Tribolium castaneum: one gene and its partner. Each later gene encodes a partner of the first gene's protein in a complex. Links are inferred from orthologs where the notes say so. Each region holds a gene or a part of one and is shown on either strand. Other genes may lie near its edges. The genes, in order: basement membrane-specific heparan sulfate proteoglycan core protein and stck.

The links.
Region 2: basement membrane-specific heparan sulfate proteoglycan core protein (region 1) and stck share a complex: the UniProt entries of both Caenorhabditis elegans proteins name them as parts of the integrin containing attachment complex. The link is inferred for Tribolium castaneum from reciprocal best matches to the Caenorhabditis elegans genes unc-52 and unc-97.

The regions. Positions count from the first base shown.
Region 1 is NC_087398.1:9,118,028-9,127,832, forward strand, and holds part of basement membrane-specific heparan sulfate proteoglycan core protein, read right to left. Parts: intron 9,121-9,805; coding exon 9,007-9,120; intron 8,928-9,006; coding exon 8,691-8,927; intron 7,203-8,690; coding exon 6,924-7,202; intron 6,852-6,923; coding exon 6,711-6,851; intron 6,457-6,710; coding exon 6,397-6,456; intron 6,238-6,396; coding exon 6,223-6,237; intron 5,122-6,222; coding exon 4,894-5,121; intron 4,618-4,893; coding exon 4,480-4,617; intron 4,342-4,479; coding exon 4,093-4,341; intron 4,044-4,092; coding exon 3,331-4,043; intron 3,157-3,330; coding exon 2,672-3,156; intron 2,626-2,671; coding exon 2,427-2,625; intron 2,224-2,426; coding exon 1,801-2,223; intron 1,750-1,800; coding exon 1,544-1,749; intron 1,493-1,543; coding exon 1,099-1,492; intron 999-1,098; coding exon 808-998; intron 754-807; coding exon 471-753; intron 418-470; coding exon 1-417. UniProt on the Caenorhabditis elegans protein: Component of an integrin containing attachment complex, which is required for muscle development and maintenance. Probable structural role in myofilament assembly and/or attachment of the myofilament lattice to the cell membrane.
Region 2 is NC_087400.1:2,460,636-2,470,440, reverse strand, and holds the end of stck (LIM and senescent cell antigen-like-containing domain protein 1), read right to left. Parts: intron 4,555-9,805; coding exon 4,296-4,554; intron 4,244-4,295; coding exon 4,102-4,243; intron 4,056-4,101; coding exon 3,847-4,055; 3' UTR 3,532-3,846; downstream 1-3,531. Other genes in the region: histone-lysine N-methyltransferase PRDM9, read right to left, coding at 776-931. UniProt on the Caenorhabditis elegans protein: Component of an integrin containing attachment complex, which is required for muscle development and maintenance. Probably function in adherens junction.

The DNA of each region.
Region 1 (9,805 bases):
CGGCAAACAATTACAAACAACCCTGTTGTTCGGCGCTAAATAGCAGCTTTGCTCGTGATTGTTGCACGGGCACCGTGAACACGACCCAAGCGGTCCAGTGCTAAAATCGTTGGTGTCTCTGTAAAATCCTGGAGCGCAGGACTCGCAAGACGTTCCCTGATAGCCCGTCGGACATCTACATATCTCCACTTCGATAGCTCGGCTCTGAGGATTGAAGGTGTTTTGCTCAATGGCGGTGTCTAAAGTAACGTCGCTAATGTAGGCACTTTCGGTATCACTTGACGGTTGAGCGTTGATGAGGATAACGTCGATATTTGCCAAAACGGTCATGATATCCTCACGAGTGGCCGGCCTGGGACCCTGGTTGCCGTCGAGTCGTTGCCAGTTCGAGCTTGGGTTCAAAACAACTGACACTTTCTGCGAAAACAAATTGGTTATTCAATGAAGCGCATATTTCATGGGCTAGCTACATTTGGGACATCGGGAATTTGCGATTGCGGATTCGTCCAATAAATAGTAATGCCGTTGCCGATGATAATGACGCTCTTGTCAGGAACGTAGCCAGCTTGCGGACGTTGGGTGAAGCGCTGCGTGAACTCAAGTCGGCCGCCGTAAGACTTGACCTGGTTGCCTGTGAATTCGCGCGGAAGCGACCAAAACCATCTCTCTGAAGTGCTCGGGCGGAACGTGTAGCCGATTTCGTTCATGGAAGTGTGAATTTGGAAGCCGGAATCGATGCGCTGTGTTTGGTACCTTCAAAAACACACAAATCAGAAAATCTTTTAGATATATTTTTTTTTTAATTACTGGTCTGTGAGGGTAAATCCATGTCGGTCAGCATCAATAAATATCGGAATTTGTTCGTAGAACAGGTTGCCTTCCACACATTCGGTGGCCACTCCGGAGCAGAAGCAGGTTTGACAACCGTGGATGTTGCCGCCACTTAAACCGAAAGTCCCCGGCCGGCAGCGGTTACAACGGTTGCCTTCCACGTTGGTCTAAACATTAATCACATTTTATTGCAAAACCAGGCCGAAACTAACACATTTTTCAACAAGTTAAGTAATGATCCCGGCGCATCCACCATTTTTGACCTACCTTACACCGACAAATTCCGTTGTAACACTCGGGTGAAATCGCCCCTTGTTGGTCGCAGTTGCACTGTGAGCTTCCCCCAACACACGGAATGCCGTTTGCAGGGTCGCCTTCATATCCCGGCAGACACAACTCGCAGTTATCCCCAGTGGTGAAGTTATCGCAGTTCTGGCACACGCCGGTTTCTGGATGACACTCTCTAGAGTTACCGTTGCAGTTGCAAGGTTCGCAAATTCCAAGGTAGATTCCTTCTTCAGCTCGGGTGTATCCAACGGCGCAGTCTTCACAAGACAAACCCGTGTAGCCCTCCGGACAGCGGCACTGTTCAACGGCTAAAGCGCGCTCGCTGGATCCAGTGTTGTATTCGTTTGCCGTATCCAGAGACACCGAAATCAATCTAAGTTTGCTTATTTAATTAAAGCCATAGCACGAGGCGAAAATTACTTACGCCGACTCTCGAGTGTTGGTATTGTAAGTCGCTTTGATATAAATGGCATTCAAATCGGCCAAAGCCATTAGCAAGTGCTCACGGTCGGCCTTTTGGCCGTCGCTACGTTGCCAGTATTGCTCCAATAATGGAACTACGAAAGTTTGCGGCGATCCAGTCGGTTGAGATTGTTCCCTTGCGTAGTACAATAAAGTTATTTCATTGGCCTAAAAACACTCCCTCAAAAAAAAAAACAACCAGACTTTTCCGAAACTTACACTGACGAGTTCTACATCAGCAGCCGAATTCCTAGATATCTGGCCACCCGGTAAAGGAACGTAGCGTAACGTGTACTTTAAGTAACCACCGTACGAAGCTATTTTATTTCCTAAGTAACGACGAGGAAGTGACCAGTAATGGACGTTGGGGTTGGAGAAACTGCTATAGGAAATTTCGCGTTGATTTTGATCCAGTCTGATTGCGTCTGTGATGGGTTCTTCTCTTCTTTCGGTATCAATAAGAGTGAAATGGTCACGCGAACTTGTAAAAGTAGTACTGATTTGGTCCCTGAACCATGTAGAACTGCTACACTGTCTTGTGACACCCATGCAGAAGCAGGCGATACACCCGAATTGGTTTTCTCCGCTGAGATGGAAGGTGTTAGCCTTGCAGGTGTCACAAGTCGGACCATCAACGTAATCCTGACAAGATAAAGATTTTAATCAAAATGTGTGACACCCAATTTATGGATAATTTTTTAAGAGTAACTAAATCGGCAAGTAGTCAAAATAATGACAAGGATAAATTGCTGCACTTACCATAGAGCGGAAACGAGCGTGAAAAAAGTTTCGCGATGTTAGTATTAAATTCCAAAAATGGAAAAATCATCAAAAATTCTACTCACTTTGCACCGACACCTTCCTTGCTCTTCAAGACTTGTCCCTTCCGAATTGCAATACGAGGAAGCCCGGCACGAATCACCCGGAATCAGAGGATTTCCAGAATAACCAGGAGCACACTGTTCGCAGCGTCTCCCGACATATCCCGGTGGACAGTCACAAGTAACCTCACCATCGGACCCCAGTGAACAAGTTCTGGCAAACCTATTCACCGAATTAATGCAACAAATATTCCTCAATCCACACTTACTGATTGCTGGGACTTGTGAGAGGACATGGGCAAATCTCACACGGTCTTCCCCGTGACGGATCTCCGTAAGTTCCTGGAGGACATGGTTGTGGTTGGACGCGGTAACATTGTCCAAGCCAGGGGCCGGTCTTGTGACGCACAAATCCATCAGCGCAACGCTCACAAGACGATCCGCTGTAACCAACAGGACATTCGCACTCTTCCACGTACGACGCTGGGCCTAGACCACTGTTGGGTGCCCCCGCAGAGTCCATTTCTATGTTGGTGATTGTGGTGTTAAGTGGACCTTCATTGTATTGCAATTTAATTAAAATGTTGTCAACTTCGGCCAAAGCCATCATTATTTCTTCGCGCGTTGCTGGTGTTTCTAGTTGACGGTCCGAACGTTTCACCCATTCGCCCTCAAAGAATCGGACTTCGATCTGTTCGTCGCGGTTTGAGGGCGGGCTAATGTTGTGTCTGCTCAGTAACGTGTAACCATTACCCTGAAAATTTGTACTCGATAATGCTAATAATAACATTCCCTAACTGTTATTTATTGTCACGCAGATTACGTGTGTATGTAAAATTTCAGTTCGTTCGGATAATGTAATCCCTCTCAAAGTAATAAGCAACCAGATTATAAAACATAAGTTAAATAAAAACTTAAAAGAACTTACAGTGAGAATAACTGTAGGTCCTGCTATGGTATATCCTCGATTGTAATGTCGCACCGTAAACCTCAGATATCCACCATAACTCTTCAGTTGATTTCCGTGGTAGTTCTCCGGCATGGCAAAGTATGGCACGAGGTCGCTCGAGCTGATTTGACCATATGGTGGTAACTGGGCGTGAACACCATTTCTGCCAAGTCCCGTCAACTGAGGTTGTGCATTTCGGTAAATTGGTTCATCCCTAATATCAATCACCCCTGTGTTCGAATCAATGCGAACACCCAAGAGTTTTAAAGTATCGAACGGCGGTTGGAAATGGTAAATAAACAAGTCTGCGGAACGACACTTGGTGGACTGCCCGAAACAGAAACACTTGATGCATTCGGCCTGACTTCTAGCTTCCTCATTAAAGTAGCCAGCAGGACAGACAGTATTTTGATTGATGACTAGAATAGTGTCCGGGATCGCAAAAACAGTCCCCTTGATATTGATAACTTCGCAAGAATACGCGCCTTGATCTTCCACTTGGATGTTGGGACAAGAAAGCGTCCCAAAGCCGTTATCGCTGGTAGTGCGGCACTTGGGCGGAATGTGGCCCCAGTTCAAACGCCACACAATCTCAGGTGTGGGAACACCGACTGCCGTGCAAGTAATTTCGAAAGTTGAGCCAACCTCGAGGTTGACCATCGGTGGTGGAGGTTTAGAGACCACGGGTATCGCTACGAAAGCGTTGATGATTTTTAGCCTAAGATGAAATTTTTTACTTACAACAACCGATTTCATCGCTACCATCGATACAATCGCGTTCCAGATCACAGTGGTAGCTTCGTGGAATGCATTGGTTGTTGGAATGGCATGCGAATTGGTGGTAGGCGCACAGGGATCCGGGAGGGTTTGTGGCGCAGTTTTCTTCGTCGGAGCCGTCGCCGCAATCATCGTCCGAATCGCATCTCCAGGTCTTCAAAACGCACTTCTTGTTGGCACAGCGGAATTCGTTCGGTTCGCAGCCGTTGGGGTCTGGCAATTTTATTTATAAATAAATAAATAAATTTATTCGCACTGAATTAGATAATTGCTCGTGGTTTAAAGACCTGGTGTCTTTCGATTTACATAATTTGGAAATATTTAAACGTCAAAATATACGACCCAACTTACTGCAACGGTTTTCGTCGGAACCGTCGGTGCAGTCGTATTTCTCATCACAGACTTGATGTTTGGGGATGCAGTCGCCGTTTGAACAAGTGGCTTCGTGGAGGGCACAAGCTGTTGGTGGGCGGATTGGTGGTGGAATCCCTGCAAAAACAGCAAATTAATCACCACTTTTAAAAAATATAACATTTCAAAACAGCGAAACTTACCGTAAGAAAAAAGAAAGCAGTGAGAAAACAGAGCTATTAGTAAAAATTCGTTTAGTATTCATTGTAAAAATACCTGTCCCAAGATACTCAGTATCTATAGGAGGCAGGACTCCATATTTCAACAGCGACGATTTGGTTTTACTCCTCCCGACTGCATGTAACATTGTTAGTCGGAGGAAAACACCACGAAATGTGAGATTTGAGCACTTACATCGGTCGACTTGGAGGTGCACTGAGACGTGAGCTCCGGGTGTGTTGGGAGGATAGCCAACGGCTTCACACGTGTATGTTCCGCTGTGTTCCACTTTAATGTTGGGTATTTCAAGTCGACCATTGTGGTCTCTGGACCCTGGAGGTAATGGTTCTCCGTTGGGTCGCGTCCAGCGCACTCTGGCTCTAAATGGACCCTCATCTCTGCATTGGAAGACGACTTCTCGATCTAGGTTGGATTATTATGCATTAGTTTTGGGTTAAAAAAGGCGGAAACCAGTCCATGCATATTTACACCTGGACTAATAAATTATGGAAGGGTCAGTTCGGATTAAATTTTACTTAAGCGCCCTATTTACATGTTCGTTTAAATAATGGAGCTTTTTAAATGAGATGTTTCAAGGTGCAACGGTGTTATTTTCAACTTTTTTAATAGGTTATCGTGTGTTTTAACTCCCAGTGGTAATATTTACTATGTTGAAGAGGGTCGACTAAAACCTTTTTTTTAATAACAATTAACTCAAAATACGAGAACATCTCTGAAACTGTCTTTCTTCTGCAAGTTCATTTGGACGGTTACTATTACGAGTGGCAATCGTTAATTTTGGTAGACTCTCTTCAACAATATATTCCTGCAACCTTCGAAGTAGTATTTTTCTAATTTCTGTATTTCCTAGAACGGTGCCTACGATCTTTTGTTCCTTTCCTAAACGGTTTAATGTTATCACTTTGGTTATCACAAAAGGTAAATATAAAACTATGATTTTTCATACAATTACAAATGTATTAAACTAATTATCTCCCTCAATTTATTTGATAATAGTAGATGCAATTATTAATTGTAAAACCCCCAATTACATACGTGTAATAAGCCATAAGCATTATCCCTTGAGAGAAAGCCTTTATTTTCAGAAAGCCGATATATTATATACAAATTATGAGACACATAAAGACTTCTATACTAAAAAGAAGACAACTATGTTAAAAAACAGAAGGAAGATTGTAAAAACAAACAGGATACAAATTTGCAATTTGTATTTGTATTTATTTAAAAATATCAAATTTAATCGTTTCTGTTACACACAAACATATTTTACTGGATCTTCATAGAGCTAGGGTAGGTACCTAAGCTTTTGAAAGAAGTAATTTGTTAGAAGTAATAACCAAATTAAGTGAATTTGCTCACTGGTATCCTGTAGAAACAAAATAAATAATAAATTTCGCACACACAGGCGAGGAAAAGTATAGAAGGTTTATGTAAATAAGTGAAAGACATGAAGTGGCGCCTTTGAATGAAAGTCATTCCCGCTAAGTTGCCCATTTTACTCACCAGGTTTATAAATGTCTGCTCCAACAAGACATAAAGAGAATAAAAATCATTAGTTACATGTATACAACACAGAAGACATTACATATAGTGCGTAATATATACACGAAGAAGTGCACTGAATAATTACTAAAATACGTGGACAAAAAAGTAAGCGATAACTAGCTGAATACTCACTTTCTTTAATTTCTTGGGAGCTGGGATAGGTCCTTAAGTTAAGCCCCTCGCTAGGCCCAGCTGTAGAAAAAAGATCGTATTAATGTTTGTCGCATAATTCGTCATTATGTCATTAAAATGTTAATCTTCGTCCCCCATAATTTACGTTTCAGATAATTTGTTTAAATTTAGTGAGTTATCTTTTATGTACAGTAAATTACAGCGATTATTAGTTGTTAAATTGTCCATCAACCGACTAGAAATTACAACAGGCCGTGTTATTAAATAAATAATAATCATGGTCAGTCGCATAATTTAACTTGCGACCGACTTACGATAGCGCGTTGGACAATCTAGCTCATCGCTAGAATCTCTCGGACAATCCACCTTTCCGTCACATCGCAATTCCTCTCGGATGCAAGGGCCGTTTTCGCACCGAAATTGGCCGCGTGAGCAAGCCCCTTCGCGCTTGGGTTCTAGAGGTGGTTACAACATCAAGGGAAACACACAGACATTTAGGACAATCACAAAATCGGTAAGACACTTACGACAGTTGGTTTCGTCGGACATGTCGTTGCAATCGACTCTGCCGTCGCAAAATTGGGAATGAAGAATGCATCTGTCCCCACTGTGGCATGGCTGAGTGCCTGGCGAACAGGTGATTTGGGGCGGTCTCGGTGGCAGTGGTTGTTCTGTTACAAATGGCGGTGGTTGAGTTGGGCAATTAAACTCATCAGAACCGTCACTACAGTCATTCCTTCTGTTACAACGTAAATTACCGGCTATGCAAGTTCCATTCGAACACTGGAATTGATCTGTACGGCATTCTACGAGAAGGGAACAAAAAAAAACAAAATAAATATAACACAAAAGAAAAAAACAAATTAAAAAAGCAAATAGTGCAATTAGATCTTGTCTCTTCCGAAAATAAAAAAGGACAATTTCTATGATTAAATGGTGATGGTCTCGTAATTTTTCAGCAAGTAAAAATGAAGTGAAACATGTCACAGAGGCGTTTAGAACGGCCACTATTTTATAATTGATTTATTACTGCAACTCGGCCAAAATGAATACTACAATAAAAATACTTAATTTAAACAGTTTATTTTAAAATTGTAGTTAATAAACTTAGGTAGAAGAACGATTTCGTGTAAAACACAACACGCAAACTTTATTAATGTGCCAAAGAAATAGATATAAATACATAATTATTGTGGTAACTAATAGCGCGGCGATAATTATTTTTTACTGTTAAACAAAAAGTGTAATTAACTGTGAGTTTACAAAATGAATATTTATCAAAACAGTGTAGGGATGTTCATAAACCAAATCACAATTTTTCGTTTCATTTTTGAAAAATTAAACCAAAAACTGATGCGGCATTAAAAATTTCTCGGTGGCATTAACACTAATGGATGGATTAGTATCGGAAATGTGTATAACTGTATACACACACGTAAACACTTACAAAAATGTAGTATTCGACTTTTAACCGAACAAAACTTGGGTGCAATAAACCAACGAGGATTGATAGAGTATTGACACAATAGTTTCGAATGATTATGTAATGTTACCCACAATTATTCAATGAATAAGCTTAACATTTGTTTCATTAGAATTTAACTGTTAAAATGTACAAAAATAATTTCTAGTTTTAAGCATTTATTTTTAATCTTTTAGTGCAAATAAACGTGCACAAATAAAATAACAAAATAAATAAAAACTGTCGTCAGACTGGATTTGCCTGGAGTCCAACTTCTGCCTCTTTGTTGAAAAGAAATAATAGGCAAATTTGAAATTAATAAAAAATCATGAGTATACAAAAATATAAAAAAACACAGACTAAATGTGGGGAACAACCATGCTCGCAAATTGGTAGACTAAATATAAGAATACGTAGCCTATGGGATCAACTGCTAAAATGGGCCAAAATCGAATAAAATGTAACACCGATCTACGGTTCTAAACCAGAAACCTACAAATCACACAATGTCCTACTGTAATACTCTATGACTGCGTTAATACTGCTACAGAACCCTAGTAATATCTGACACCAAATACACCTAAAAACGTCAACAGAAATAGTAAGAAACATGGACAGAGCTCTAACCAAAGCAATTTTGTTCGTCTGAAAAGTCCCGGCAGTCGTAGAAGTTATCGCAGCGAAGGGTGGCGTCAACACAGAGCCCGTCCGAACACTGGAACCAGTCAGGCTCGTGGCATGTCCCTGGCCAAAAGGCCAGAAAACAGATTTGTTTGAGGTAAAAAACAGTTTGGAAAAGAGGAAGTCACAAGTAAACTAAAAACAAACTTACGACATTCTCTTTCGTCCGATCGGTCGGGACACTCGGACACTCCGTCGCAGCGCAGGTAATTGGGGATGCACTCGCCGTTATCGCATTGGAATTCATTAACTGTACATATGCTCGGAGGCGGCGGACAATCAAGCTCGTCACTGCCGTCCCTGCAGTGGCGGACGCCGTCACAAAACGCAGAATTCGGAATGCAAGTGCCGTCACTGCAGCGGAATTCATCTTCTTCATGGCAGTAAGCTGAAAATTTTTACAAATGTTTTGTCTCATTCATTATTTAATGTAACTTAAGTAGCAACATTGTGCAAACGCGACTTACTGGAACTGCATTCCATTTCATCCCGTCCGTTCTTACAGTCCTGATATCCATCGCAACGAAACTCAGAGTTAATGCAAGAAGAATCTCCACAATCGAATTGACTAGGGAGACATCCTACAGTAAAAAATAAAACGTTATTTATCTTAATTCATCTATTAGCAACACAAGCATGAGAAACTTTTAGGTAATATGTAGTTAGTCAAAGTTTAATTTATAGTTACAAGAGGATTAGCTAAGTACTACATACAAAATTTACGTTCACTGACCGAAAATCAATCAAATCAGTCTGTTTACATCGAAAATGTAAACCGGCCTCTTCTATGTTAAAAAATATTGGGTCATTAATACGTAATTCTAATGGCAGGTATCCGATTATACAATTTTTTAATTAACACTTTATACACATAAGAAAGTTAGTGTTTACTTAATCCAAAATGAGGTCTGTTGGTACCTGTGATTATGATTATTTGATAAATTGTTTACTGGCTAGAGGCCAGCATTTTCGATTGTTGCCGATTGTTACTGCCGTAGTTTTAGTTTTCCAACTTTTGTCACAATAAATACATAGAGGGATATAGTCAAATGTATTTATAGCAAATAAAAAGCTACTCGTATTCGTTTTACGCGTGTATGTTGGAAAAAATTCAAATATAATTATTTCCAGGACATCTCTACATGAGAAATATTTATTAGACATAAAGACGTACCTAATGTTACTTGTACAGTCCAGAGTGTCTCAAAAATATTTATTTTTCTAGGATCAAAATAGCTGAGACACCTTGGAACTAGTAAATCCTAA
Region 2 (9,805 bases), on another chromosome or scaffold:
CTGGCTTCACTTATTGAGTTTTTCGTCTAATTTAACGAAAAATCTCCCGAAAAACTTCAGTTTCTAGTTCAAAATGTAAAAACAACACTTCAACACAAATCGACTATTCTCCAGCTTACTTTGATAAGAGATAATTGCGTTATTATTTAAAACAAAAATACGTTATTAAATAAAAAACGGCAAAAAATACACAAAAACTGAAATTTTCGAGAAAAACTTCGCAAAAATCTGCTCAAAAACTAGCTAAAGCTCCTGAAAAAACATATCTAATTCATTTGTCTTTCTTTACCACAAAAACATGCATTAAACCCAAAAAAAGGTAAAAACAACACTACTTTGGACTATTTTTGACTTTTTCAGATTATTTTTAATTACATTTTGAGAAATAATTGTTTCTTTCTAAAAAAAACGTACAATAAAATGGTAAAATCGGGAGAAAAAATCAGAGTTTTTATTTTGGCACAGAGAGGCAAAAGAGAAGTACAAAATGATTATTTATTCACAAATCGTTCAGAAAAACGCGAATCCATTCATTTTCCAATTAATCAGAGTAGCACTGACAAATTATTTGCAAACAAAAGTGTCTGCATTGATTTTTATTTGCCCAAAAACTGCTTACTTTGTATTGGTATTTTTACGATTTAAATAAATAATCCGAACTCGGGAAGTAAAAACCTGAATCATGTCTTACAGATTTAGTAAAAATAAAGCAAACTTTTACAGTAGTTGCGGTGTTTCCCTGTAGGACGCCTAGAAAATTAGCTAATTTACAAACCTCGATTGCAACGCACGCCATTAGCTGGAGCGGCAGTGGAACAGTTTGCTTGTTGTCCTTGCCCTGACGTTCGTAGATATTTGTCAGTGGACCTTCTTCATTCAGGCAAAATCGGCAAATTTGCATTGCACGCAAAATATTTGCACGATTTTCCATTTTGCTTGATTCAAAAAATTTTCAACACATTATTTGTACGAACTGTAAACTCGAAAATGGTGGTCGGCTTGGCTAAAATGGGCCCACTTGCGCATGCACAAGTTACAGCTGCCGCGCTTACCGACCGGGCGGCAATCGATTACAGGAAAAAGGCGGTGGGTTGTCGCCACCAACTCATAGAGGGCACGAATTGAAAAAAAATTCGTGAAAATTACGGAAAACTAAATACTAGGATGCACACGACGTCCAATTAAAACGTCTTTTTGTTACTTTCACTAACATCAACAGATGACACCCGTCCCATTTTAGCGGAATGTTAAAAAGTTTCTATCTTCCCCACTATAAAAGATACAGATTTGAGACAAAAAGCAAAAGTAACAAAATTTTGTTATTTTATGTGGGTATTATGGTTGGTTATGAAATTTTCAACAAGTTAATTTTTGTGGTCTGAAAAACATATAAATAATGTTTGATGTTTTTTTATTCATTTAATATTTAATTTAATGTCATTTTTAGTTTGTGAGTTATTATTTTCTCAAGCGAAAACTAAAAGAACTGGACGTTTTTAACTAGGACATTCTTCAAGTACTTTTTACAATAAATCTATTTCTGTCATTGTATTTTCCAAGACGTTCTTAATGTTAGAATTACAACACTGAACTTTTTTTTCTTATGAAAGCCATATTCAATTTTTGCGTTTTTGTAAAGTGTTTATTTCTGGTTACAACGATGTATCACATAATATGACCGAATCTTACGTGATGATCAAAATGGAGAAAAAAGCATTTTTGCGAAGAGTGCTTTGGAAAAAAAGCCGCCAACTACGTTTTAGAAGTTTAATTGTATTTGATTCTAGAACGTTCACATTTACGTCAATCTTGGGTACTTAAACACTAAACGACATAATAAGCTATAAGTTTATTCTTCGCATAACAAAACAAGACAATGTTATAAAAATTCTGTTTGCATATTCAATAGAACTGTCAAAATTTAGTATGTTAAACAAAATTTTTGGCGTTTCTTCGCATACCAAAGCAAGAGAAACTTAAAAAAATTTTGCTCGCATATTTAATAGATATGTCAAATTTGTTAAACAACATTTTTGACGTTTTTTCCAAAGCACTCTTTGCAAAAAGGCTTTTTTCTTCATTTTAATCAGCATTTAAGATTCGATCATATCATGTGATACATCATTGAAATCAGAAATAAAAAAACTCTTCAAAAATACAAGTTTCAAATTAGACGTCTATAAGAAAAACCAAAGTTGAGTGTCGTAACTCTGACATCAAGAACGCCTTGGAAAAGGCGATAACAGATTTAAATTCCTTGTAAAAAAGTGCCTGAAGAATGTCCAACTTAAAAACGTCTAGTTCTTTTGGTTTTCGTTCAAAAAAATAAAAACGAAAATTACATATTTCCGTTTTTTTTTCAATAATTCAAAAACTAAAAAAGACACATCAAATTTTCTTTTAGATAATTGTTCAGTATAAAAATGCACAACTTTTCCCTAATTGAACCGACCTCGTATCTTATAATAACGAGATCCTCATGATAGGCCTCGAAAAATGGACACTCTGTATAATTAAGTAAAAATTAAAATAAATTATATTTTGAACGTTTAATTGAATTTGAATCTAGAACGTTCACATTTTCGTCAAACTAACTTACTTACTGTCAGAGTTTAGTTTGTTAAACAACATTTTTGACGTTTTTTCCAAAGCAATCTTTGCAAAAACGCTTTCTTCATTTTAATCAGCATGTAAGATTCAATCATATCGTGTGATACACCATTGAAATCAGGAACAAAAGGACTTTTCAAAAATACAAATTTCAAATATGGCGTCTATAAGAAAAACCAAAGTTGAGTGTCGTAACTCTGACATCAAGAAGGCCTTGGAAAAGGCGATGACAGATTCAGATTCCTTGTAAAAAAGTGCCTGAACAATGTCCACCTTAAAAACGTCTAGTTCTTTTGGTTTTGACTTAAAAAAAATAAAAACAAAAAACCAAATTTCTGTTTTTTTTTCATTAATTCAAAAAGACATCAAATTTTCTTTCAGATAATTGTTCAGTATAAAAATGCGCAACTTTGTCCTAATTAAACCGACCTCGTATCTCTCATAATAACTGAGATCCCTATAGTGGACCTCGAAAAATGGACACTCTGTATAATTCAGTAAAAATCAAAATAAACGTAATTTTCGTGTTGGCAAAATTTTTATTAAAAATTATATTCTCAAAACAAAAAAATTAAGCATAAAATTTCGATTAAATAATATTTTCGTATTTTAAACTTCATTATAACTATAACGAAAAGTAGAAAAATTCTGAAAAAAATCACTTATATAGAGAAAATCAATAGGTATTTTATATCAAACGCTCAATCAAGTGCGACTATTAGTTTCTGAGATATAGTGTAAAACACGTCTAGGAGCCCCACCCTGTATAGGTACTTCAGACGTTCAATAAAATTACTGAAATTGGTATTTTACTTCAGAAATAAAACACCAATCATAAACTTTTAAGGTGCTATCAGGAAAATTTGTTTAAAGGAAATATGATTAAAGGACTTGGATAGATAGGCGAAAAATACAACGACAGTATTATAAGCCTTTTATTAATGACTATGTCAATGTTAAATGAATTTAAATGTTAACGATACTTCGACACAATTATTATAAAAATCGAGCACCAGTATGTCTATATAAATAATAATGTTTTTAGGCAGGTCATGAAATCAGTTTGAACAACTGAAGCAACTACAATATCTATATTTTTACGTACTTTATTCCTTATTTTTTCTGAGTGACACTCAATAATTATCAAGTTCAGTGTTGCCACCACATTAGTATGAGTAGTAGAGTAGTAAAAAATTATTTTTTTATTCATAGTTGAAATGTAGATTAAGGCACAAATTAAGTTGGCGTTGCCGCTTTTCTTTGCGGCATGGCCTCGTGTTGCCGCTTTAGCCTCCTTCTCAACTCAGTGGGAAATTTATCGTAACATTTTTTACATACCGGTTTAAGGTCGCACTCGTAGAACTTCGTCTTCTGGTTCATTTTCTGGTCGCAAACCGAACAGGCGAAGTGGTGAACACACCACGCTTTATTCAGCGCTGTAAAAACTGAAACCACATTATTTTGAATTTTTTTCTAACTAAAAAAAATTACCATCCCCTGCGATGACTTGGTTGCAAACGAAGCACAAATTCCCGAAAAGTTGGTGGTAGTGTGTCTCGCAATAAGCCAAGCCCTTTTTTTCGTAGTGGCGATGACCGAAGAACGGTTTCTCGCATTTGGCGCAAACGAAATGCTGCAAAAGTTGCGTTAGTTTTATTGCCGGTTTTTTTTGGTATTTTTTTTACTTCAACATGCCAGTGTTTGCCAAGGGCTGTGACGACACGTTCTTCGATTGGGCGCCGACAAGCACCACATATGGGAATCCCCATTTTGTCGTGACAGCGAAGACAGTATAACTCGTTCATGTCGTTTGCTGCAAAGCCAGGACGACTTCTCACTTCTCTGGCTGTGTAGTCAAGCTCAACTCCACAGTTGGTACAATTGAAATGGTACGGGTGGTACATTTCACCGCGGAATTTCAGCGGCTTGTCGTCGATCAAAGCACTGAAAAAAAAAGGGCATTTTTGACCAAATTATCGCTTTTTTCAACAGATTTTGTTGATTTTTTGACAATTTTTTTTAGAAATTTGCAAATTTCCTGCTTACTAAAATCTTGTAAACAAAAAAAAAACAATTTAATTGCCTTTCTTACTGAAAAAGACAGCAGAAAATAGTGAAATAGTAAAAATTGGGGCACGAATGGTTTTGGAGCACGACGAAGGAGTGCTCCAATGGAACAAATGTAATATACTATTTTTTCTTATTTCTATTTTTGTTTAGTTTATTTCATTTTTTTGACGTAATTTTGAAGTTTTTCGAGTGAAAACACCAATTTCGACCAAATTTTGTGATTTATCGACTTATTCTCGACAAAATTCGGAATAATTATTGTTCAAAAAATGAGCCGAAGTGCAATTATGTAAAATTTCAGGTTAAAGAAAAGAAAAAAAAAGAAGTTTCGCGGGGAAATAATTGCCTGTCTCACTGAAAAAGAAAGCAAACATGATTTTATTTTTGACCTAACATGACTTTTTGACCTTTTAAGTTCAAAAACTTTCAAAAATAACACTATTTCGTTAATAAAAACTTGGATAAATAGAAAATTTTTAGCTAGAAAATAAGTAAAATATACCATTTTTGAGCTAATTTTGAGATTTTTCGACAGATTTTTGATGAAATTTCGACCGAGTTTAGTGTTTCATCGATTTTTTCCGACAAAATTCGAAATAATTGTTCAAAAATTGAACTATTATATGTTTAAACGCTTGAAAAGGACCATATGAACATCAATTTCGATCTAATTTGGTGACTTTTCGGCTTGATATTGAAAAATCTTCCAAAAAACACAGCTCACCATTTCCACTTTTTTGTGGTCATTTCTGGCTTATTTTCGACAGATTTTTTCAAAATAGTTGCATTTCCGTTTAAAAAAAATGTTAAATGGTCTAAAAAGGCAAAAATAAAGTAATTTTTTTACATAAAAATAAGCTTCAACATTCGGAAAAAGGAAAAAGAATTTCATTGGTGATTTAATTCCGTAATTCTTTAGCTTAACTTAGGAAGATTTTGTGAAAAAAAAATCAGTTTCAAGTCCGAAAGCGTTCTAAAAAATCTTGTGATTTTTCCGCTTGTTTTTTTAATGAAATTTTTCAAAAATCTGATCTAACTGAAATAACTTGTTAAAACCGAATAATCATTTAATTTTCGCAATAATAAATAAAATTTAAAAAAATAAGAAAAAGAGAGTTTATGTTCAACGTAAAATTTATTGAAAAAAAAAAACACAATTATAAATACTTTCGATTTAACTTGTTGATTTTTTGTCTGATATTGTAAAATTTCGCAAAAAAACTCAGTTTTTAGCTCAATACCTGTGAAAACAGGCAAAACCATCACAATTTTTACCCTACTGTGCTAATTTTTGACTTATTTTCGGCAATTTTTTTTTTAATTTCTTCTTTCAGGCAATAATAATGATATTTTCGACATAAAACCTAGCTTAAAGAATAAAAAAATGAAAGAAGAATGCCAGTAAAGATTTAATTTCGTAATTATTCGGCTTGACCTAAAAAAAACTGCAATAGAACGTTCATTTTCGCCATCACTTAATATTTTTTCGGTAATTTTTCAAAAAAAAAAAAATTTTGAACTGAAATAACTTGCTAAAATCAAAATGATTATTTAATTTTCGACCAAAATTTTATGATTTGTCGGTGAATTTATATCAAATATCTCCCACAAAAAAAAATAGATTAAAGCAGTAAAACGTGTTTAAAATGAAATTTATTGGAAAACGTGCCAAGAGACTTAAAAAAAACGAAAAAACAAATTAATTTTTGACGTAATGTACTACTATATCAAACCGTTAGCTAAATTATCTCCAACTTTAAATAATATTATTTTACTTTTATGCAAAAAAAAGGCAATAAAAACATTTTTTCTTGCCTCACATTGTAAAAAATCCGCAGTTTTCACACCATTTTCGCTTTGACCAAATTTTTTGACGTCTTTCTCACCAAATTTTGAAAAAAAATTAATAATATAGTCGTTTCTGTAAACGAAAAACTGTCTTTCTTTTTTTTTCAAATAAACAATTGAGTTTTAGACTGAAGAAAGTTGCAATAAAGCGTCCAAAAAAATTATTTAATTTCTCGAGTTTTTAGCACTATAAAGTGCACAACTGTTCAAAAATAACGCAATTTTCGATTGATTTTCGAGCAATTTTGCGAAATTGCTAAAACAAGAGAGAAAATCTTAGAAAAACAAAGTTTTTACCTCACAAAAAAGGTAAAATATACCATTTTTTGAGATAATTTTAAAGTTTTTCGACTGATTATTGATAAAATTTAGCGAAAATTTCGACCGAATTTAGTGTTTCATCGATTTGTTTCCAACAAAATTCGAAATAAGTGCTCAAAAATTGAACTAAAAGCCGAAAAACGATCGGTTTTTATCTTAAAACCTTGTTTAAACGCTTGAAAAAGGTAATATGAGGATCAGTTTCGATCTAATTTGGTGACTTTTCGGCTTGACATTGAAAAATCTTGCAAAAATAACTCAGTTTTTAGCTCAAATACTCACCACCCCACTCCACTTTTTTTCTGGTTATTTTTGGCTAACGCAAAAGAGGACAAATCACACAATTTTCGCTCTGTTTTGGTCATTTATTGTCTTTTCCACCAAATTTTTAAAAAATATTAATAATAAAGTCTCTAAAAAATGTAAAATACGGACGAAAAAAGCAAAATTTATTTTTATTTTTGCCCCTATTTAGTAATTGTTCAAATATTAATAATAAATAATTTCGACTCAAAAAAGTTGCAATAAAGTAAACAACCGTTCAAAGACAACGCAATTTTCGACCAAAATTTTATGATTTGTCGGTGGATTTATATCAAATATCTCCCACAAAAAAAATAGATTAAAGCAGTAAAACATGTTTAAAATAAAATTTATTGGAAAACGTGCCAAGAGACTTAAAAAAAACAAAAAAAAACAAATTAATTTTTGACGTAATGTACTACTATATCAAACCGTTAGCTAAATTATCTCCAACTTTAAATAATATTATTTTACTTTTATGCAAAGAAAACGCACAAAAACGGCCAAAAAAGGCAATAAAAACATTTTTTCTTGCCTCACATTGTAAAAAATCCGCAGTTTTCACACCATTTTCGCTTTGACCAAATTTTTTGACGTCTATCTCACCAAATTTTGAAAAAAAATTAATAATATAGTCGTTTCTGTAAACGAAAAACTTTCTTTTTTTTCAAATAAACAATTGAGTTTTAGACTGAAGAAAGTTGCAATAAAGCGTCCAAAAAAATTAAAAGCTATTTAATTTCTCGAGTTTTTAGCACTATAAAGTGCACAACTGTTCAAAAATAACGCAATTTTCGATTGATTTTCGAGCAATTTTGCGAAATTGCTCGAACAAGAGAGAAAATCTTAGAAAAACAAAGTTTTTACCTCACAAAAAAGATAAAATATACCATTTTTTGAGATAATTTTAAAGTTTTCCGACTGATTATTGATAAAATTTAGCGAAAATTTCGACCGAATTTAGTGTTTCATCGATTTGTTTCCAACAAAATTCGAAATAAATGCTCAAAAATTGAACTAAAAGCCGAAAAACGATCGCTTTTTATCTTAAAACCTTGTTTAAACGCTTGAAAAAGATAGTATGAGGATCAGTTTCGATCTAATTTGGTGACTTTTCGGCTTGATATTGAAAAATCTTCCAAAAAACACAGTTCACCATTTCCACTTTTTTGTGGTAATTTCTGGCTTATTTTCGACAGATTTTTTCAAAATAGTTGCATTTCCGTTTAAAAAAAATGTTAAATGGTCTAAAAAGGCAAAAATAAAGTAATTTTTTTACATAAAAATAAGCTTCAACATTCGGAAAAAGGAAAAAGAATTTCATTGGTGATTTAATTCCATAATTCTTTAGCTTAACTTAGGAAGATTTTGTGAAAAAAAAATCAGTTTCAAGTCCGAAAGCGTTCTAAAAAATCTTGTGATTTTTCCGCTTATTTTTTTAATGAAATTTTTCAAAAATATGATCTAACTGAAATAACTTGTTAAAACCGAACAATCATTTAATTTTCGCAATAATAAATAAAATTTAAAAAAATAAGAAAAAGAGAGTTTATGTTCAACGTAAAATTTATTGAAAAAAAAAACACAATTATGAATACTTTCGATTTAACTTGCTGATTTTTGCCTGATATTGTAAAATTTCGCAAAAAAACTCAGTTTTTAGCTCAATACCTGTGAAAACAGGCAAAACCATCACAATTTTCACCCTATTGTGCTAATTTTTGACTTGTTTTCGGCAATTTTTTTTTAATTTCTTCTTTCAGGCAATAATAATGATATTTTCGACATAAAACCTAGCTTAAAGAATAAAAAAATGAAAGAAGAATGCCAGTAAAGATTTAATTTCAAAATTATTCGGCTTGACCTAAAAAAAACTGCAATAGAACGTTCATTTTCGCCATCACTTAATATTTTTTCGGTAATTTTTCAAAAAAAAAAAAAATTTAACTGAAATAACTTGCTAAAATCAAAATGATTATTTAATTTTCGACCAAAATTTTATGATTTGTCGGTGAATTTATATCAAATATCTCCCACAAAAAAAAATAGATTAAAGCAGTAAAACGTGTTTAAAATGAAATTTATTGGAAAACGTGCCAAGAGACTTAAAAAAACGAAAAAACAAATTAATTTTTGACGTAATGTACTACTATATCAAACCGTTAGCTAAATTATCTCCAACTTTAAATAATATTATTTTACTTTTATGCAAAGAAAACGCACAAAAACGGCCAAAAAAGGCAATAAAAACATTTTTTCTTGCCTCACATTGTAAAAAATCGGCAGTTTTCACACCATTTTCGCTTTGACCAAATTTTTTGACGTCTTTCTCACCAAATTTTGAAAAAAAATTAATAATATAGTCGTTTCTGTAAACGAATAACTGTCTTTCTTTTTTTTTCAAATAAACAATTGAGTTTTAGACTGAAGAAAGTTGCAATAAAGCGTCCAAAAAAATTAAAAGCTATTTAATTTCTCGAGTTTTTAGCACTATAAAGTGCACAACTGTTCCAAAAAAAAGCAATTTTCGATTGATTTTCGAGCAATTTTGCGAAATTGCTAGAAGAGAGAAAATCTTAGAAAAACAAAGTTTTTACCTCACAAAAAAGGTATAATATACCATTTTTTGAGATAATTTTAAAGTTTTTCGACT